Linked DNA regions of Arabidopsis thaliana. The protein of the gene in region 2 interacts with the protein of the main gene of each other region in a pairwise test. Each region holds a gene or a part of one and is shown on either strand. Other genes may lie near its edges. The genes, in order: AT1G22570 and AT1G08230.

Region 1 (11,539 bases), 5.4 Mb from region 2:
GAGCTTATGGTGCAGCTACAGGGCAGATCATAAATCTAGCAAAGTCCTCGATTACTTTTGGTTCTAAGGTTGAGACTGTGAAAAAAGCTGAAATTCAGACTTGTTTGGGAATTTTTAAAGAAGGAGACGCTAGCACTTATCTGGGATTACCTGAGTGTTTCAGTGGTTCCAAGATTGAGATGTTGGATTATATCAAGGTTAGACTAAAGTCCAAACTGTCCAGCTGGTTTTCTAAATCTTTGTCTCAGGGTGGAAAGGAAATTATGCTCAAGGCTGTGGCAATGGCAATGCCGGTTTTTGCCATGTCATGTTTCAAATTACCGAAGACTACTTGCACTAATCTGGCCAGTGCTATGGCAGATTTCTGGTGGAGCGCTAATGATCATCAAAGGAAAATACATTGGTTGAGCTGGGAGAAATTGTGTTTACCTAAGGAGCATGGTGGTCTTGGGTTTAGAGATATTGGCCTTTTTAATCAGGCGCTTTTGGCAAAGCAGGCTTGGAGATTGCTTCAGTTCCCGGATTGCCTCTTTGCAAGACTTATAAAGAGCCGCTATTTTCCTGTTGGTGAGTTTTTAGATAGTGATGTGGGTTCTAGACCTTCCTTTGGTTGGAGAAGCATCCTTCATGGGAGAGATCTTTTGTGCAGAGGTCTTGTAAAAAGAGTTGGGAATGGGAAGAGTATTAGGGTCTGGATTGATTATTGGCTTGATGATAATGGACTGAGAGCTCCCTGGATTAAAAATCCAATCATCAATGTTGACCTCCTGGTTTCTGACCTTATTGACTATGAGAAAAGAGATTGGAGACTTGATAAGTTGGAGGAGCAGTTTTTCCCGGATGATGTAGTTAAAATAAGGGAGAATAGACCGGTGGTGTCTTTAGATGATTTCTGGATTTGGAAGCACAATAAGAGTGGTGACTACTCAGTCAAGTTGGGGTATTGGTTGGCTTCTAATCAAAATTTAGGACAAGTGGCTATAGAGGCTATGATGCAACCGTCTCTTAATGACTTGAAGACTCAGGTTTGGAAGCTTCAGACTGAACCAAAAATTAAGGTTTTTCTGTGGAAAGTGCTTAGTGGGGCCATTCCTGTGGTGGATCTTTTGTCTTATAGAGGAATGAAGTTGGACTCTAGATGTCAAACTTGTGGCTGTGAAGGGGAGTCTATTCAGCATGTTCTTTTTAGCTGCTCTTTTCCAAGACAAGTGTGGGCAATGTCTAATATCCATGTACCGTTGTTAGGTTTCGAATGTGGCTCTGTTTATGCAAATTTATACCATTTTTTGATAAACAGAGATAACCTCAAGTGGCCGGTTGAACTTAGAAGAAGCTTTCCTTGGATCATTTGGAGGATTTGGAAAAACAGGAATCTTTTCTTTTTTGAAGGAAAAAGATTTACTGTTCTTGAAACTATATTGAAAGTGAGGAAAGATGTGGAGGATTGGTTTGCTGCTCAGGTTGTAGAAAAAGAAAGGAGGGCTGAAGTGGGTCAAAGTGATCAGCAGGTTTTTTCCCCTAGGAATGTGTCTCCTGTTGTTAGATGGCTGCCTCCTCCTACTGATTGGGTGAAGTGTAATGTTGGTCTGTCTTGGTCTAGAAGAAATAGACTTGCAGGGGTTGCTTGGGTTTTGAGGAATGACAGAGGCAATGTCTTGATGCACAGTAGAAGAGCCTTTTCCAATATTTCCTCCTTTTTGGAGGCTCAATTTCTAAGCATTGTTTGGGCTGTTGAGAGTATGGTTAGTCATCATGTGAATAGGGTGGTTTTTGGTGTGGAAGCTGCGGTGCTTGTTGGGGTGATAAACAGGCCGCAAGCTTGGCCTTCCTTTAGGTTTCAGTCTTCGGAGATCTTGTTAGCTTTAAATGGTATTGCAGTTTGGAAAGTGGTGCTTGAATCGGTGTCTTCGAATAGAGGTGCTAATCTCATTGCCCAAAGTGTTACTAAGGAGTGTAGGCTTCAATCGTACGTGGCCGTAAGTTTTCCTGCTTGGCTTCTTGGTGTCTTTAGGGATGAGAGAGTTCTAACCTCTGTGGACTGAAGACTTTCTGCTTTTTGGCTCCTTGCTTTTTGGGAGGTTTATTCTTTTGTTGCCCTGTTAATTTTTGGATTCTCAGGGTTGACCTTTTAGTGGGTGTTTCTTGTGCCCCTTGGTCTCATTTTTTGGTATGACTTTCTGCAAGTCAGTTGTAATTGTGCTAATATCTAATATAACAAGTAATCTACCTTTGCGACAAAAAAAAAGAATTATGAATAACCTAGCTTTTGCTTTTTCTTTTTCTGAAATCTCTGTTGCTTTCTCTTTATAAAATGAATCTAGGTAGGCCGTTCAGTGTATTCATTGATCCAATTATTTCTCATTGTTACGCTGTCGTCACGTTCTTTTTTCTTTCTTTTTTTGTTGTTGTTCAACTATCGTCACGTTCTTTCTACTTTTTAAGGTAAACAATTTTCCACGTGCACGACCATAACTTACACTGTTTAGTGTTTACGTCCAGACCCCAAAAATCGATGCGGGACAAAAAAAACTGATTGATTTGTTAAATTAAATCTTCGTTGGCTTTATACGTGTTATTTGCTTAAACTTCTTTTAAAAGGAGTTTGATAGAACAGTGAAAAGGACAAAAGATATTTTTCAATCGCAGAACTAATATTTTCTGATTTATTAGCTGTGTGTTTGTCAGTGTCCCAAGGACAAAGTTGATTGTGAATTTCTCTCGTTATTACTTTCTTTGAAATAGTTAGATGAAGACTAAAAATGTCTTTATTTTCTTATAATATGTAGTAGCTGAATGCCTAACGCGTATAACTCCTAGGCCTTTAGTTTCTCAACCACTCCTCACTGCCCTTGTGTAAGAAATTAAATGACCCGACACTTTGGCCCATTTCGTGTAACACATGGTTTTAATATTTGCTTGAGTAGTAATTAAGAGTCACAAGTTATCTAACATAGTCGTCGCTTTCAAATACGTATATCATCGGTACATGGCGTGTACACATGATATATACTATATGCTCTTTGTTCCTTCCACAAGATCCAAAGTTGGTCCAAGCTTTCTCCAAGTGGAGTAATAGGTAATGATTGAGTTTCAAATTCTTTTGTCCTCCAGTTTCGAAATCTTCAATTTCTTTCGGCCCATTCAGCAAATCGTTCAAGAAGGATAAGATTTGCTTGCAATTTACGAATTGGACAAACAACGTACTTAAAGATAGATGGTCACACTGATTTATGTCAACATAAAAGCATGTTCTTGTAAAAAAAAACGATAAAATAATTATTCAATATTTGCAAATATCTTAAAAACAATGGACCCATCGGTGTTGTGAAACCAAAAATAAATGCTATCCAATCCAAACCCATGCAATGATAGATATGTTTTTTTTGGTAGGCTCCTCTACCTTATGTTTAAGTTGCCAATTCTATATACTTTGGAAATAAAACGAAAAAAAAAAAAGAAGTCAAACTATAAACATGTTAACGTACAAGTTTGATATGAAAGTCAACAAAATTACAGTAGAGACTCTATAAATTAATACTCGATAAATTAATAAACACGATAAATTAATAAATTTTGTCGGTCCCAAGTTGGGCCAATATAAAAATTAATCAAAATCGATAAAATAATAAGATAATAATTTTTTTAAAATCCCTATGTAAAATTATAGTCCCAATAATATTATAAATTAATAATCATAGATCTTAAGTATATATCTTAAGACTAATTTTTATATGAAATTTTTGTTCAAACTAACTCTTTTTAAAATACAACTGATATGATCTCTGTTGTACTCACATAACTATTTGCGTATTTGATCCGTCATAGTTGATTTTGTAAAATCTTTTATTTGAGAAAGCATTGTTATGATTTGTGTAAAGAGAAACTGGATTAACTTTCATGTTTACGTTTACGTTCACGTTAATGTCGTAGATATACAGATACAAATCTTGACGAAAATAAATTAAAAAAGTCAAATTAAAATAAAAACCTAACATAATTATATATGCAAACAACAAAGCATATAGAAAATTACATTAAAAAATATTTTTAAAAGAATATAGTATTGTACTTTACGTAAATATTTCTATAAATTAATATTTATTAACTTATACGATAAATTAATATTTATTAATTTAGAGGATAAATTAATATCACTATAAATTAATAAAATTTCATGGTCTCACCATTATTAATTTATAGAGTTTCTACTGTAATACTCTGAATTCTTCTTACCAAAAAAAAAAAAAAACTAGTACTCTGAATTCTTAGACTTGGTCTAGCCGACGATACACATACATCTTGGAGATGAACAAGAACGCAAAGAAAGCAATGGCCGTGAAAGCAGCGAGCAACCAATAAAAGTAATCCACATGGGCTCGGTTCAAGTTAGAGTTGAACCAGCCGTCTTTTCCCGTAGCCCAATCAATCAAACTGATGAGAAAACCACTCAAGAAGCTTGAAAGACCCATCGCACTCAGAGAAAGCGAGAGACCAATGCTCCTTAGCTCCGTTGGGACTTGGTCGTAGAAGAATTCTTGTGTTCCCACCATAGAGAACAGATCGATCATCCCGAGTAGCAAATACTGAGGGACGAACCACCATATGGACATTGGAACGGTCACGTCCGGCTTGTCCACTAGCCCGTGTTCCCTAGCGATTTTTAGCCGTTTTGATTCTACTAATGCAGCGAGCATCATATTGAAGACTGAAAGCACCATTCCAGCTCCTATCCTTTGGAGCATTGTGATCCCAAAAGGCTTTTTGGTAATCTTCCTAGCTATCGGGAGAAATACACGCTCATATAGGGGCACTGAGATGAGAATAGATACACCAACGAATGACAATAAAGAAGCCGCTGGAATTTCTACTCCCGGTAAGATTCTTCTGTCCACCGTGACCCCTTGCTTCGTGAAGAAAGTTATGTACTGAGCGTACGGAATCGTGCTCACCACGTATGTGATCCATATCGGAATAAGCCTTACCAAAGCCTTCGCGTCATCCACGTCCCTACCACTACATGGCTCAACACCTTCTCTTGAGATCATTGCTTTTGCTAGGAAACTTGTCACACAAGGTAAAGAAATTTACACTCAAAATTATGCCAAAAGACTAAAACAAAACACAAAATATTCGAACTTACTTGAGCCGATCTTTACGTTTCTCGGACTGACCATCCTCCAATAGACCTTGATCCAATTCCAAACTAGAATGTTCTAACCTCAGTTTCCGATTCTTGAACGCAATAACAAAAACTCTACCGATTCTTGCAAAAGTGTTACTACTATTAACCTCCTCATGATGTCCCTTTGGGTATCTATATATCTTCCTCCCGAGCAAGAAGATAGCAAGAGCCATAACCATAAACAAACAAGGAATCCCAAACCCAAACGCCCAATTAACATTTTCTTGAACATAAGCGACCACAATAATCGATATGCTTATTCCCGCAGATAAACTCAAGAACCACCAATTGAAAAACGACCCTCTCGCTATTACCTCCTTCGGATCTTCAGCATCAAACTGGTCCGCACCAAACGCTTGAACACACGGTTTGTGTCCACCTTGTCCGATCGCCACCAAATACAGAGAACAGAAGAAAAGTGTATTAACCCAAATAGATGGTTTAGCAGAAGCGTCGTTACGTTGCTTAGATAATCCCATTATGATTAAAGAAGCTGATAACGTCAATAGTCCTAGCCCCTGTAATAATAATAATCCTCCAAATTCAGCTAAAATCCCGGTTTAAATCATACAAAGATCAAACCGGTTTAACTAGAAGAAGACAAAAGTACTAACCAATATGTAGATGAGGGAAGCTACGACAATAGTACGGTAACGACCAAGATAAGCGTCAGCTACGAAAGCTCCTAAAATAGGAAGTATAGAGGCAGTTCCCGACCACGTGTTCACGTTCACGGCAGCTTTCGCCGTCGATTGTCCGAGAGGTCCGGTGAGGTAAGTAATCAAATTGCAGGCAATCCCAAAGTAAGCAAACCTCTCTGCAACTTCCACACCTAAACAAATCATTTAAGACTGGGACTTAGAAGTTTAACTAGAAAAAGAAAAAAAATTGGATTGTTTCTGATGTGTTTTACCTATAATGAACCAGGCCGATCTCCATCCGCCGGTGGAAGATTTTCCGGCGGGAAATCCACGGTGGTCGACGGAATCGCTAACGTAATCTTCTAAGAGTGCAACTTCTTCCTCTGGTATCTTCATTTCTCTCACCAATAGAGGTTGAGAATCTCTGTGAAAACTTTTTAAAGGGTAAATGCCTAAATGAGATTTTTAAGCTAAAAGATCTCTTTGTCTTGCGCAACTAGTGAACACGATTACATTAATTTATGATATTTTGGGTAACTAAACTTTCTAGTCTTTCTTTTATGTGTATCTGTATATTTATTGGCATTTGAGATGAGTGTACTATACGCGTTAAAAAATAAGTATGCAATTACATTATCTTATTTGTATTTTTATTTTATATAACTTTCCGATATTATTGTATTATTACGCAATAATACGCATACTTCCTTTGGACAAGTGATACACGTACGAGCTAGATATTTGCCATGTTTTGTTTTGTATCAGCAAATTCTTTTTGTCATTTTTTTCAATCAAAAGTCAACATCAAGGGTAATTTGATTGATCACGACTTATTCTTAAAATTAAGTTATAAAAAACATGTAACTTAGTGATGTACAATTGTTATTTGAGTATAAATGTTGATAGAATATTTAGATGTTTTTGGGTTGGATCGACCAAAAATCCATATATCATTCAAGCTCTTAGACTTAGGCTTAGCTAACCATAATTTTGACGTATCATTTTATTTGTAAATTCACTTACTTTTTAGTCACAAAAGCAACATAATTGATCACTATTATTTCAAAATTAGAAAATTCGTTAACAATAAAAAAAATAGACAACATTTGTATAAACATTTTACATTTGTATAAATGCTGAGACTAAATCAATAAGTTTTTAATTTGGAATATTTATTATGTAGTTGTATATTTTTCTTTCTCCTACTTGGCTAGTGGCTACTTGCATGCTCTTTGGTCCGCTTGTTGCGGTGTTCCGTATTTATGATCGAGTTATTCTTATCTCCTGATTAGCTGTCACTTCATAACTTCTTTTTACTTGCAAGTTGCAGGGTAATATGAATGTATTTGTTCACAGCACAAGACTATACTCTCCACAAATCAGCAAAATACATTCTACACGAATGTTTCCTTTTTTCTCAAGCTGTGGTCACTAAATTTTATTTTTTGGCTAAGATGTTTGTGATAGATCAGTCAAATAGTCAAAATAATATTTGTTCATAGCAGAAATAATCTCCTGTATTTCAGTTTTGAATAGTCAAATATAGATTGATTCTGATAAAGTTGGAAACCTTATCAGCTTTGGACACACAAAAAAAAGTCTTATCAGATATGTTATCGCGCCAAGCAGATGAGATGGATTTTGAATGTTACTTTGTCTTTTCATGTGTAATAGAAACAGAAAAATTCGGATTACTCAAATTGTTGACAATTTTTCGAGTTTTTGAAAGTCGCATGCTTAAATTATGTTGGCAACAATTTTCAGCATACTGCTGATTGATTCATATTTGGTGATTACGTTTGTTTCGTTGATTGTAGATTTGTTTGTTGAAGACATTTTTTGTTCTTGGGGGTTGATGTAGTAAATGAATATTAAAATCTTTATATTATTTGCATCCACTTGAGGATAAGATAATATTGTTGTCTTGCTGAGGAACGTGTTATACGTGTAGTACGTGTATAACTTGCGTTCTCTGAAATCATTCATTTAAAAAAAAAAACCTGCGTTCTCTCCTTTCTTACTACTCTCGAGTCTCAAACATTCTCTCTTTTTTATAGGCCCAAAATATTTCGAAATCAAAAGGGGCCGAAATACGGGCCTAAATAATTTGTGTGAACCATTTTATCATACATGGTTGCTAAGTTGCTATGATGTCGTATCCTTAGGAGTTAGGATTGGTACTCACGCCTAGACTGAACGGCGTGACATGCGGAAGATCGATAAATGGCATCATGACCTAACAATATTGAAAGGATCGAGATATGTAATATCTTTAAGCTCACGAAAAGATACAAACAAACATCGAATAAATTATATTTACATGGATTCCTCTCTTTTAAAGTCAAACAAAAAATATTATGACTTGGAAGTCTTGAACATTGAATGTTCTTTAGAAGGCACTATACCGGTGTACCGGTGTTTCAAATAATGTCTTAAGTTTTAGTGGAAATTTATTTACTTCCCAAAAATGATCTCTAACTATCTTAAGGAACAACCATGCAGATAAAGAATTTTAATACTAGTTTATGTAGAGTGTTTCATATGTATTTTTTTCCGTCATCATTAAGTTCGTAGAAACTTCTTTTGCAAGTACGAAATTTTGCAAGTACGCTACACCAAAGTATGGGTTTGTCACTTGGTTAATGATGAAAAACAGGTTAGCAACAGGGGAAAGGATGTTTCAATGAAACCAAAATGCAGATCAAAGCTGTGTCTTATGCCAAGATCCTTTGGAGACAAGAGAGCACTTGTTCTTCCAATGTCCGTATTCGAGAAAGGTGTGGGAGGAGCTGGCACGGGGGATCCTAGCAAACAAGTTCACTGAAAAATGGCGGGATATCATGAGGGAGCTTGCGAACAAAAACCGAGACACAACGAAAAGGTTTATACTAAGGTATGTGTTCCAAAACACGATACACTCTATTTGGCGTGAAAGGAATGATAGAAGACACGGAGAAAAACCATCAAGAAAAGAGAAATTTGTCAAGCTGATTGATAGAAATATGAGAAACCGCTTGAGCACCATAACAATGAAAGGGGAAGAAAAATACATTGGAGGACTTTAAGTGTGGTTTGCGTCACAACAAAGTCAAGGATAGATAGATTGAACCATATTTTGATTCGGTTTTAAGAAAAGTTTGCATTTCGATGTATAAACGTTTGCATTTTTTTTTAATATAATTTAACATTAGATTTCTAAAAAAATACAAAATTTTATCAATTTTAGGTGTGACAAAGTAAATTTCATCATTTTAAAAAATATTAAAAAGCTAATAATTATATCATTATATTACAAATCGTGTCACAAAAAACAAAAATCAACATGTCAAACATGAAAAAGCGTTACAAGAATAGTTTTTGCTCAATTGCTAAACAAACAAATAAATAAATTATATACCATACATTTCAATTTCACCATATATGCATATCTCCTCATTTTACAGAATCTTAAATGTAAAATTAATTTCATATTTAATAGTTTATAACACGCGTCACAAAATAGAAAGAAAAAAAAAACTAAATATTGCTTACTTAAAAAAGAGTTACGAAAATATAGTTTTTTCCGCCCAATTTTAAAATAAATATAAGATTATCCACCATTCATCTCATTTCACCACATATCCATATCTTCTCTAAAAGTTTTAGATCTGTTTCTTAGAGCGACATCGACGATGACAATGGCACCGAAACGATGTTTGTATGTATTGTTTCTAATAGTTCAACATGAGTGTTGGCGATGAGACTCTATCAATAGCCACACAAAAAATTACTGTCTAACTCTTCAAAATTTGTTGTTGTTGTTGAAAGTAACCCTTAATTTTTAGATATCTAACGTTTGTTTTATATTTTTTTCATTGTTGACGACAGTAAAACGAACGAATCTACCAAATCGGTCAGAGTGGCTTGCAGATCTTTAAGGAGTCCTTCCGTGAGACGGTAAGTTCATTAATCTAACTATTAGCCTATTACATTACATATATGTCCACGGAATTTCAATTGTTTGGTCTACCCATTCATTGTTTATTCTCTCTTGCTGAATTAGTGGTTTCTTTTTTTTTTTTGAATAAGTTTTCACTAGAAAACTTTGAGGAAAGTAGTTGAATTATAATTTCAAATATTAGATAAAATTCATTAACTAAGCTTCGATCATTATTCTTACATATTTAGCTTTTACATAATTACTTAATAGTATACAATATTACACACACACACCTCGTATGTGTGAAGTGAATCAGTGTGTATATAACTATACCAATCGAGTACTTTACAATTAGTAATCACAACAGCCAATGAGTTAATAACTATGTAACTAAATATTTTGCCTATTACTGTTCCCATATATGTTCTACCATATTAGAGAGTTTGACCCTTTTTTTTACAATAGACCAAATAGAAGAGAATATGATGTGTTGTAATTTGTAAATATTTACATATATGCACACCTCCTACATGTGTATATACTATAACTCATTAACTCTATTAAGAATAACTATTTTTACCATCAGAAATTACATACGTCAGTCAAATTTAAAAATCATAATCATAAAGGCCTAACACTAGAAAAGTTAAAATCAGTAATGTAATGAGACTATTATGACTAATAATGGAAGAAAATATTTAATACAATGTAATTAAATGTAAAAAGACAAAATTAGAGATACTCTTATTGATAATTACATAACTTTTATTACATATTGCCTTTTGTATATATTTTTAAATCTCACAGAGTTTTTCAACAATTTTTTTTTTTGTCCACGCATAGGCTTCTGTGATTACCAATTATAATGTTTAACTGACATGTAGGATAAATTAATTTCTTGTTGTCAGTAGTATAATAAAATTATGTAAAGAAAATGCATGTCTACAACATTACAAATATACAACTCATCATATCCTCTTTCTGATTGGTCTAGTGTAAGAAAAAAAAAGTTCAAACTTGTTTATATGGTAAAACATATATAGGGACATTAATAGGCAAATATTACCTTCCTCTTTTTACAGGTTCATTAGACTAACAAACACAAGACAACTAATAAAATGAAAATAAATTGATATAAATCTTCTTATTTAGAAAGCTTTTATATCTATATTTTCCCTTAAATCTTATATGTATTTTTCTGTTACAGCCTTCCTATAATTTGCTTTTTACATTTAAAAATACCTTTCTATAATTTGCTTTTTAATATTTAAATAATACCTTTCTATAATTTGATGAAACGTCTTTTGTGGACCTAGCCAAAATCAAAGTTAGAAACTCTCTATATAACATTTTACCCATCTAGTCCCTAAAACCACCCAAAATCCTCTTCTCTTCTTCATTTTTTTTTTTCACCATGGGAAGAAGAAAAGTTACACACCAATTGATTTCTGACAACGCCACTCGCCGAGTTACATTCAGAAAACGCAAAGATGGTTTATTGAAGAAGATCTATGAACTGACCGTTCTATGTGGTTTACCCGCTTGTGCCATCATCTACAGCGAATACAAAGATGGCCCTGAGCTCTGGCCAAACCTTAACGAGGTTCGTTCTATTCTTAACAGGTTAAGCGAACTTCCGGTAGAGAAGCAGACCAAATACATGATGGACCAGAAGGATCTCATGAACAAGATGATCCAAGACGCAGAGAAGAAGTTGGAGAAGGAGAAGATGCATACTCGTGCGATGAAACTTGGGTTAATGGCTGGGTCTAATGATCTAATCACCGATACTGATTG
Region 2 (11,539 bases):
TCAAACAAGATTGCAGTAGTACAAAATATATAAGGAAAGCATAGAGCTGAGATATCAAACAGAGATGATATATGCAACAAAAAACGGTTAACATATCAGAATTTATGTTTTAAATTATAGCAAAATGTTATGCTAGTCCAAAAACAGTCTTAAAGTTACATCATACGAAATCAATTAAACAAGCGGGATAATCTTATATGGATCATTTCTACAAAAATGGCAAAGCAAGGCCATATAGTAGGTTCTCTAAATTAATGAATTAACAATCCCCATCCACCATGTAAAAAATCATCATTACAATATCAGATCCAATACAGACAAATGTATACAGCAGTTACCTCTCTGTTAATAATTAGAAAACCTTGCCCATCGACCATGTAGGATATCATCATAATTTGATCATATTCAGCATCAGGAAACTTCAACGGAAGCTTTGTTGTCTCTATATCGAAGGCACAAACACGGACTTCTGCGCGTTGAAGAAGATCTGTCCTCTTCTCCAATATGACATCGGTGCTGGAAATACTGACATTGTACCATTGCCCACTCCGCACATCTGGACACCAAGAAAACATCATGATTTTGACAATTTTGAGGACTAAACAGAAATTCTGGTTTGACTAAACAAGATACCATTATCAATTGCAAATCGAACATGATAAGGTACATCGTACTCGCGGAGGTCCACGATAGAGTCTAAGCAATCTTGAGGACGTTGTTCTCTGCGTTCCAAGAATAAAGATAAAAATGATCAGGACATCTGAAACCCTTAAAAATAAACTTGAAAAATAACTAAGAAACAACTTAGGTTAAGAGGTAAAAATTGAAAATCAACAAAACTCTTAAGTGATTTAAAAGAACAAAATTACATGTCTTACCGTTTTCCAGCCAATATGGATTCGTATGCTTCAAGTGCATCAAATTTTGCCTGGTTTCGTTCGACAATATGTAACAAATCCCGCTTGACTTCCATCAATTGTTGCACAGTATCAAATGATATTTTTAGGTATTTTTTTTGCAGGCCAGATAGATGATTTTTCTGCTCATGAACATAAAATAAAGGAACTCAAAATTGTGTATCACAGAAAAAAGCTACAAAGACATCCTAAGCGAATTGATAACTAAAAAGTACTGAAACCTTCATATCTTGCATACAATTGCACTAAAGGACAATCAATAAACACTTAAAGAAAACTAACTTTAACATCTACAGCCCATGTTACATACTAGCAAACGCCTATTGATTTCACCTAATGGATTCAAGACTACTTTTGGACTATTTACTACAAATGTTCAGTTTTGGGTTACAAGAAGAGGATAACAACTAAAGGTTGTAGCAAATATTTCTGATATGAGTAGAGAAACAACATTAATCAACTGGTGGAAGACACTAGTCAACTACATCACACAATGAGGAAGTCAGACTTAAACTAATAATAATCATAGTATGCTTTACTGACTTACAAGATCAAGATCTTCTTTTTCAACAATCTCAATATCAGCAACTTGTCTTTCATATCGGCGTCTCAAGTAGGCTTCGAGTTCCAATTCCATTTTGTCCTGTAATTTGGCATTGCAGTTTATTGACATATAAAATGAAAATACATGAATGATTCAAGGAGAATTCCGATAATGTCCAGAGAGAAACTATCATACTTTCGTGGCTGCATAAAAGTAAGGACGGAACTTGTACTTTGTCTTGAAAGAAAAGCCGTCCTGAAAAAAATCCTCAACTCAGTTAACTATTTAGAAAAATGCAACAACAAAAATATAATCGTTCATCAACTTATACGAAGCTGACATAGTAATGAGTAATGACCATAATTATAGCAGCTCACCTGAGTAACAAAGTAAAGGTCCACACAACTATAGACTTTCCCAGTATCGCGATCTTCCCAAGATGACTGCAAAACGTAGTAGATTATCCAATCAGTAAATACTAGTACTTTGACATTACCTAGAATCCTAAATTCTCGCACTAATGGAGTTTCATTGTATGGTTCAGTCGCCAATGCTTATATTTAATTTACAGAAATTCACATATAATCGAATCCGAAACCTACTCAAATACTCTCAATTAACAAGGTTGAGTCCAGATTAGAGTGTCGGAGAACTTACCGATGAGAATGTGAGTAACCACCCAAGTCGGGTTTCACCTTCAGAGAAAAGCCCAAATCCGAGTTTAGATTCGAGTTCATCTTCCGCAGTGTTCACTACCTTAGGCTTCTTCGACCACCGCGTATCCTTTCGATCCCGTCTTCGATTATCTCCGCTCATTTTGCGGCGATTATAAATTACGCGGGACAGAGAGAGATTCCTATATAGAGAGGAGCTTTATTCCTGGAGAAGCTTTGAAGGAGAATTTAGGGTCAACAAAAGGGCTTTTACTGGTAGGGCTTCGTGGATGCCGGAGAAAGTGAGTGAAAGAGTAGAGAGGAAAAAAAAATCTTTTATCATTTTCCCGCGCTTTTGGTATTGGCAACCAAATCACTGATAAGCCCCTCATTTTTGGACTCTAATTGGGCCTATCTAAAAGCCCATCTTTATCGCATTTGCATTTTGGATTTCGAACACAGCCTTTCCATTCGAGACGATGATGACAAATTAGGATTTCTAGCTCGAGGCGAAAACAAACTTCCTTCTTGTAGCTGTAGGTGTTCTCAAGCTCCGACTCACAAGTCACAAGTGTAGACTGTCTCCTTGAACTCGAATCACCTCCGGTAAAGTCTTAAACACTCTCATATCTCAATTGGGGTATGGAGAAAATCGGTTTATGAAACCAAATAACTTAAACCGGATCGGGTCGAATTAATTTTCAGTTAAATGCCGGTATGGTCCATACGACTGTGACTTGTAAGGTGGTTGTGGTAGGTGGAGAAGTGACCACACAAACGAACTACCCCAGGAAAACATGTTTTTCTACATTCTCGACTTTGCTATTTCATTGAGCTTGAATAACCAATTTTAAGACGCCATTGCTAAAACATGAAAGCTCTATCATCTTCTTCTCCAATATTAGGTGCTAGCCAGCCGGCGACGGCGACTGCGCTTATCGCGCGATCTGGTCGTTCTGAATGGCAGAGCTCCTGCGCTATTCTAACAAGCAAGGTTATTTCTCAAGAAGAATCTGAATCCTTACCTGTGCCTCCAGTTTCCGGCGGAGTTGATCATCTCAACGGCCATAACAGCGCCGCCGCACGAGTTCCAGGAATGAATCTTGTTCCGATTGAGAAATCTGATAGCAATCCGTTGGTTCCACAGCATCGTCATAATCCACTGAAACCCCTTAGCATGACGGATCTCTCGCCGGCTCCGATGCACGGATCTAATCTACGCGTCGCTTATCAAGGTGTTCCCGGTGCTTACTCTGAAGCAGCCGCTGGTAAAGCTTATCCTAATTGTCAAGCTATACCTTGCGATCAATTTGAGGTTGCGTTTCAAGCGGTGGAGCTTTGGATCGCAGATCGTGCTGTTTTACCGGTGGAGAACTCTCTCGGCGGTTCTATCCACCGTAATTACGATCTCCTCCTCCGTCACCGTCTTCATATAGTCGGCGAAGTTCAACTCCCTGTTCATCACTGTTTACTGGCTCTTCCCGGCGTTCGTAAAGAGTTTCTCACACGTGTGATCTCACACCCTCAAGGTCTCGCTCAGTGTGAGCACACGCTCACAAAGCTCGGACTTAATGTCGCACGTGAGGCAGTTGATGACACCGCAGGAGCCGCTGAGTTCATCGCCTCTAACAACCTCCGCGACACAGCCGCTATCGCGAGTGCACGCGCCGCCGAGATATACGGGTTGGAGATTTTGGAAGATGGGATTCAGGACGACGTGAGTAACGTGACGCGCTTCGTGATGCTGGCGCGTGAGCCAATCATACCTAGAACAGATAGACCGTTCAAGACTAGCATTGTCTTTGCGCACGAGAAAGGAACCAGCGTGCTTTTCAAGGTGCTCTCTGCTTTCGCCTTCAGAGACATTAGCTTGACGAAGATCGAATCGAGGCCGAATCACAACCGTCCGATCAGGGTCGTGGATGATGCCAATGTCGGGACGGCGAAGCATTTTGAGTACATGTTTTATGTTGACTTCGAGGCCTCGATGGCGGAGGCGCGTGCTCAGAACGCGCTTGCCGAGGTTCAGGAGTTTACATCGTTCTTGCGGGTGCTTGGGAGTTATCCCATGGATATGACTCCTTGGTCACCAACATCATCAACTTCATCGTAACCATACTATAGTCTATACACACATGAAAATGTAAATTTTGGAGAAGATAACAAAGTTTTATATTTACTGATCCATTCTGTTTGGTGTTTTACATTTGATTGAATTCGTATAAATCAATAAACAATTGGTAAAAATTTAAACTAAAATTCATAGAACATTGATTTGGAAGTTTTGATAACAGGGGAAAAGTTGTGACAATATGGTGGAGTTGGTAACAGAAATAAGGGTTTGGGGACAATCAATCATTGTGGTTTGTATGATAATTTCGTGTTGTCCTATTGGACCTGGGGTTGATAAACCATCGAGTCCAACAAGAACACAACATATGTACATATGTTTGGTGTATGCAAAATGTTGTCTTTTCAAATTTTCAGAAAAGATTGTTAAAAAATATAAATGCGTCTGCCGGGAGTCGAACCCGGGTCTATTGCTTGGAAGGCAATTATCCTAACCGTTGGACTACAGACGCTTTTGCATATCGAGCAAATAAACTATATATACATATAAACTTTGGATGTTGAGGTTAAAGTGAGAAAGATTTTAAAATACATATATATAGATATAATCTATATATATATTTTTGCATCCATTTTGTGAAATAAATCCTGGAGTTGAAACTTATTTACAATGGCTGTCACTGGCTTTTAATTATTAGTTTTTTCAGCAATAAATTGATTAACAAACGAAAAACATTCCAAATATATTTCAATCCCATATATCACGCAGATTTTTCCAAAATTTGAACTAGATTTCAGCAACTATTTAAAACAAAAAATGTTTGACAACCCAAAAGACAATTGCAATCCCTTAAAATGAGCAAACGCAACTAAATACATTTCTTATCAATTCACTAAATCTTATTTCTCCAAAATTTGAACTAGATTTCGACAACTATTTAAAACAAAATTTTGTTTGACAAACTAAAACACAATCGCAATCCATAAAATATTTATTTTAATTATAAATTTCAACTAGCGGGGTACCGCGGTTTTTTTTTACAGGACGGGTTTGGCAGAACGGGTTTGGAAGGACGTTACTTAATAACAATTGTAAACTATAAAATAAAAATATTTTATAGATAGAGATAATTTGCAAAATTTTATATATACTAGTTTAAATAAAAAAAATTATCTCCGCGGTGTACCGCGGGTTAAAATCTAGTCTATATATACATTTTTGCAACTATTTTGTGAAATAAATCTTGTAGTTGAGAATTATTTACAATGATTGCCACTGGATTTTAATATTTGTTTTTGATAATTAGAAAAAAAATCTTCGAATTAAATATTTGACATTTAATAAATTTTTTTAAAATCTCTTTACATTAACTACACGATTGGTTACTAAAATAAAACTTTCAAAATATTTAATATCATTTAATTACTACAAAATTATCATTATTGATATTGTTTTTCTTCATGACTATTACAATTCAATTATAATCATCAAACCGCAGAGATATTTGATAACATTTAATTACTACAAAATTACAAAATATTTAGACAATGATTCATAAACATATGATAAAGAAGATCAACATTAATAAAATAAATGAGCTTTTTTTACGGGATGGGTTGGCGGGACGAGTTTGGCAGGACGAGTTTGGCAGGACGAGTTTGGCAGGACGAGTTTGGCAGGACGTTACTTAATAACAATTCTAAACTATAAAATAAAAATATTTTATAGATAGTTACATAGATTGTTACAAATTACAAACTTTTATATATACTAATTTTAAAATATAAATTGTCCCTACGGTATATCGCGGGTGAAAATCTAGTATTATTATTATTAACCGAAAGAAATTTCTTTCAATTTTAAAAATTCTGTCAGTTATAATGAAAATGTAAAACTGTAATAAGGATTTAATATACATATTAACATGTTATATTGATATGTTATTACTATTATCCAATTTGCTTTTTCTATTACTGTTTGTTGGATGTATTGAAAATTTAAGATTGTCTCCAAAATCGATTATTTTGAAATTATATATAAAAAATAAGATTTAAGAGATTTGTTTCCAAAATATTTTGAATTCTCCATTTATTTTCATATTCTATCATATATTTTTTAAAGAAAATAATCAAGATATACACATTTTATAACTTCATAAATCGTTTGACACAGAAGAGAATCGATAAACTATAAATCTGCAATGTTTAATATTATTACGAAATGCTTTTAGGTAAAAGATGATATGATAGCAAGTGTGTTTTTTGGACTTATAAAAGTGAGTAGCACCTAGTGGGGGGAGAGAGAGAGAAAGAGAAACAAAGAGAGCGATAAAGAGATGGGTGGAGAAGAGAGATCAGGAGATGGAGAAAAAAGAGGGGAAGAAGTAGTTGATGCTGGTTCTCTCTTCGTCCTTAAATCCAAAGGTACGTTTTATTAATTATGAAATCTATGAAACTTAACGTATACTATTATAACCCATTTGAAGAAGATATGATGATGATGATGATGGAAACTAGGGACATGGTGGCACTGCGGATTCCACTTGACGACGTCTATAGTGGCGCCTGCGCTACTGAGTCTACCGTACGCCTTCAAGTTCTTAGGATGGGCTGCCGGGATATCTTGTCTGGTCGGAGGAGCAGCCGTTACTTTCTACTCGTACACTCTTCTTTCTCTTACTCTCGAACACCACGCTTCTCTCGGCAACCGTTACCTCCGCTTCCGTGACATGGCTCATCACATCCTCAGTAATTCTTTTTCTTTTTACATTTGCTCTTTCCTATAATCAAAGCTGCGACAAATTTACCTTAAGAGAATTTCATTCAAGATTGAGATGTATAGTTGTACGTAGACATACGTGTCTATATGAACTTCTATACGTAATAATTGACACACGGCCGGTACCACTCCAATAATTTCATCCACGCAATAAAGGAAGGTACATGTCCTACGTAATAATTTGTTTGAACAAAAAAAAAAGTTAATTTTTGTGTGAAAACGCGAGATGGAATACTTATAATCACGTTTGCTATTACGAACAACGGAATTTTATAAGAAACCAAGTAAACATTGGTATGAGCTCAACTTTTGTTCGTGGTTGGTTAATATCACAATATATGTATTGTGTAAACCTATGATTTTTAAAAAAATACTTTTCTATACTGTTTGGTCTTGTTTCGAATTATAAGAAGAAAAAAAACTAATCATATGGAATTCATATTATAGTGAATTTTTTGATATGGCTTGCTTCGGTTCAATTTTGTTGGGATCCGGATCGAAGTGTTGACCATTCCACATTTCCACTCATACCACTGTTAAGTTTCAACTTTTTCATGCGTTAGATAGCTGTCTCTTTCCGTGTCTTGTTTCATTTTTGATGCAGAAATTTGTCTTTCAAAACTAATTTCAATTTTTAAAAATATGTGCGTGTCAGAAGAGTATTCATAAAACGTTGGTGCCGACCAAAATTTAATCTTATATAAGTAAAGTTGGATAGGTTCGATCTGCTTTCAAAAGTAGAATATTCTAAATTTCAGATCCTACATAGGATTCGATCCAAATTAGGATAGTTACGCTTTGACTGTCGACTACCAAGGAAATCCACATGTCAACAAAACTTTTAAGACAAAATTTAACGTATTTATCTATGCAAAAACTACAAAATGATGAGAAAAAATTGATTGAAATTTTTTATCTTACTGGATAATTCTGTTTTAGTAGCTAATATGAAACTAAATCCATTATGCATCGAATCATCGATTTGGATTTTAGTTTTCATTAGAGTACACCGCTAATCTGAAGGATTTATAGGAATTCGATTTAGCCCACTTTTTCGGGACTGTATACAACTTTAATTAGGATAAGGTAAAGTATAATACAGGTTCCGAATGTTTGATTAGTTAAGATCAGTTTGGTTTTCCTCTTAACAATTATTGGGGTGTGTTTGATAAGGTCCGAAATGGGGAAGGTACTACGTTGGACCAATACAAATGGCGGTGTGCTATGGTGTGGTTATTGCCAATGCGCTCTTGGGAGGGCAATGCCTAAAGGCAATGTACTTGGTAGTGCAGCCAAATGGGGAAATGAAACTCTTTGAGTTTGTGATTATTTTTGGATGCTTACTTTTGGTTTTGGCACAATTCCCATCCTTTCACTCTCTACGATACATCAACTCACTGTCTCTCCTCCTCTGCCTCCTCTACAGTGCTTCTGCCGCTGCTGCATCCATCTACATTGGTACTCTTCTTTACTAAACCACTTTACTCTTAATTCTTAAACCTTTTATATTGTTACATTTAAAAGGTGAGTTTTCTGTTAAATATCAGGAAAAGAACCAAATGCACCAGAGAAGGACTATACTATAGTTGGTGATCCAGAAACTAGAGTGTTTGGAATCTTTAATGCTATGGCTATTATTGCTACTACATACGGCAATGGCATTATACCTGAAATTCAGGTTTCATTTTGTTTCCATTCTTTGTTTAGAACACCACTTTAATATTTATTCATCAAAAACAAAAGGGCAGTCACATGATCGACTCAGTTATATATATAGAGTATTTGATATATGAATACTATCTTCTTGCAACGCAGGCAACAATATCGGCACCAGTGAAAGGAAAAATGATGAAAGGGTTGTGTATGTGTTACCTTGTAGTAATAATGACATTTTTCACAGTAGCCATCACAGGATATTGGGCATTCGGTAAAAAAGCCAATGGACTTATCTTCACCAATTTCTTAAATGCCGAGACAAACCATTACTTTGTCCCTACTTGGTTTATTTTTCTCGTCAATCTCTTCACTGTCCTTCAACTTTCGGCCGTTGCTGTGGTAAATACAATTTTTTTTTAACGTTTTTCTTTCACATATATACATTGTTATTATTTTATTTTATTTTCGTCACATATATACATTGTTACTAATTTTGAGTTATGCAGGTATACCTACAACCTATAAACGATATTTTGGAAAGTGTGATCAGCGATCCAACAAAGAAAGAATTCTCTATCCGCAATGTCATCCCTCGACTAGTTGTGCGTTCCCTCTTCGTCGTGATGGCTACAATCGTTGCGGCAATGCTTCCATTTTTTGGAGATGTAAACTCCTTGTTAGGCGCTTTCGGTTTTATACCTCTAGACTTCGTTCTTCCTGTAGTTTTCTTCAACTTTACTTTCAAGCCGTCTAAAAAAAGTTTCATTTTTTGGATCAACACTGTGATCGCCGTGGTTTTTTCGTGTTTAGGGGTGATTGCTATGGTAGCGGCGGTTAGACAGATTATAATAGATGCCAATACGTATAAGTTGTTTGCGGATGTATAAAAGAACATGCAAAGCAAAGTGAGATTGTTATTTCTATATTTAAGAATAAGCCTTTTTTTTTCTTAGAAAAATGTTTATGATTATAAATTTGGAAAATAATATTCAAATTTTGATAACAATATTTTTACATAATTTAAATTAATTAATTTTGAATGAAATAAATACAGATGAAATAAATATCTAGAAAATTGATAAATCACAGTACAGGCCTGGAATATGAGCATTTGAAACCCAACGCAAAACAATTCCTAGAAACGGAAGCCCAAAAGTTGGGGGCTATAATTAAACCGGATTTAAAAAATCGGTTTGATTGGTTACCCACACAAAAATCTGGTTCAGGATTTTAGACTCGTTTTCAATTTCAAGCGTGTTTGGTTCGCCGGCAGAGAGACATAACCAAACAAATAGGGTTTAAGCTCTACTAAAATGGCGACGACGTTGAATCGAATCCTGAAGCATAGATCAGTCTCTGCTCTCAACAAGCATCATCAAGGACTCTTCTCCCTCACTCGATACGAGAATCATGACTCTCTCCCTTCTCAAATGCCAGCTCTTCGATCAACCACCCGTTCTTTCCTCGATTTTTATAAGGTAGGAAATTCTGAGAAATTATCAATTTCGCTTATCGGAGAAACGTTGTTTATAGATCTGTCGTTGTTGTTGTGGCTTTGCACAGTTCGGGAATAAGAAAGCAATTGAAGATGAGCGTGCTAGACTGTAAGCTTGCCTTTATCTAGATTCAATTCTTTTTGGGTTTTGCTCCTATTCAGATTCAGCATTGATTTGCTATCTGTTTCGACATAGATCGTCTCAATGAGAAGTTGATTAGTGGAATTTGATGTGATTTAGGGCAGTAATGATGAGATGAATCGGGGTTACTTTGCTGATATGAAAGAATTCAAGGAACATGGTGGTAAGGTATAATCATGCAACTTCTTCCACTCTCTCTCTCTTATTGGTAGGATCCACTATCACAGATCCCAGATTTTGTCTTCTTTGCAACGCCAATCTTAAAGGGTGGATTGTTTTCATTAGCTATGGCTTATATCATCTGGGTTCGCTTGTACTTAGTTATGCATGATTTAGATACCGTAGCCTGTAGGGATCTTGTATTTGCTTTATGAAGTTTCTTAACTGTCAATTGATGTTTTTGTAGATCGCAGCTGCAAATAAGACTATAATTCCTGCCGCTTCAGCCATCAAATTTCCGGTATTAGCAGTGACTTTCTCTAATGGAAAAAGCCTAAAGTTGCCTATTGCTCCCAACAGCAATGAGGTTGACACAGAGAGTTTGGTTGTTCCTAAAGTATCATTGGTGTGTCTGTCTTTCCGAGCAAGCTCTCAGGTACAGAAAATTCTACCTCGTCTTTGCTATACTCTGATTTCGAGAATGTTTGAGTTTATTAAAGATTACCGGAAGTGTTGCTTCTTAAGGTTACTAAACAATGGTTGCCTGACACAGTGGTCTTAACTCTTTAGTGGGGAATCATTTTGTTGATAAGTTATATATCTAGTTTGTATAATTGTTGATGTGATGTGGTTGCTTTATCTGACAGGAAATGATCAGCTCGTGGAGCAAACCATTTCTTGAATCATTTGGCAACAGGAAAGATCTTCAGTTGTTTGAGGTACTGATTCTGAATCGTTTGTGCTATTCGCACTTATATCAGATTTTAGAACCTGCACGAGTGCTTTTTTAGCAGCTGTTTTTCTCCCATTTTATTCAAAAACTTATTTTCTTGTAATTATAGGTTTCATTTATAGACAAATGGCTGCTGGGCTTGGCCCCCATAAGAAAACTACTTCTCCGGGTCTTGCAAAAACCAAACAATAACGAGAATAGTGTCCTCCAGAGGCAGGTGGGTTACGCATTTGGAGACCATTACTACTTCCGTAAAGAAATTAAAGTTCTGAACCTTCTCACCGGGTACAGAAAAGTCTACTCTTCATCAGGTTAAGAGAGCATAAGAGATTCCCTTAACCTTTCTGATCTCTCTATTGCACATACGTGTTCACGTTTCAGGTATATTCTC

The links.
Region 1: the proteins of AT1G08230 (region 2) and AT1G22570 interact in a protein complementation assay, tested with the Arabidopsis thaliana proteins (one large-scale study listed by BioGRID).

What each region holds. Positions count from the first base shown.
Region 1 is NC_003070.9:7,972,355-7,983,893, forward strand, and holds AT1G22570 (Major facilitator superfamily protein), read right to left. Parts: upstream 6,457-11,539; 5' UTR 6,220-6,456; coding exon 6,096-6,219; intron 6,094-6,095; exon of another isoform or gene 6,028-6,093; coding exon of another isoform or gene 6,015-6,027; coding exon 5,797-6,014; intron 5,701-5,796; coding exon 5,141-5,700; intron 5,062-5,140; coding exon 4,266-5,061; 3' UTR 4,070-4,265; downstream 1-4,069. Other genes in the region: AGL87 (AGAMOUS-like 87), read left to right, coding at 11,157-11,539.
Region 2 is NC_003070.9:2,581,682-2,593,220, reverse strand, and holds AT1G08230 (Transmembrane amino acid transporter family protein), read left to right. Parts: upstream 1-6,251; 5' UTR 6,252-6,520; coding exon 6,521-6,608; exon of another isoform or gene 6,609-6,701; coding exon 6,702-6,932; exon of another isoform or gene 6,933-8,136; coding exon 8,137-8,421; intron 8,422-8,510; coding exon 8,511-8,641; intron 8,642-8,778; coding exon 8,779-9,018; intron 9,019-9,125; coding exon 9,126-9,506; 3' UTR 9,507-9,577; downstream 9,578-11,539. Other genes in the region: TIL1 (DNA polymerase epsilon catalytic subunit), read right to left, coding at 339-556, 634-722, 879-1,039, 1,465-1,560, 1,657-1,716, 1,839-1,904, 2,119-2,277; ADT6 (arogenate dehydratase 6), read left to right, coding at 2,986-4,227; AT1G08220 (ATPase complex subunit), read left to right, coding at 9,933-10,097, 10,183-10,223, 10,361-10,424, 10,663-10,851, 11,063-11,134, 11,258-11,433, 11,530-11,539. UniProt on the Arabidopsis thaliana protein: High affinity gamma-aminobutyric acid (GABA) transporter probably involved in GABA uptake into cells.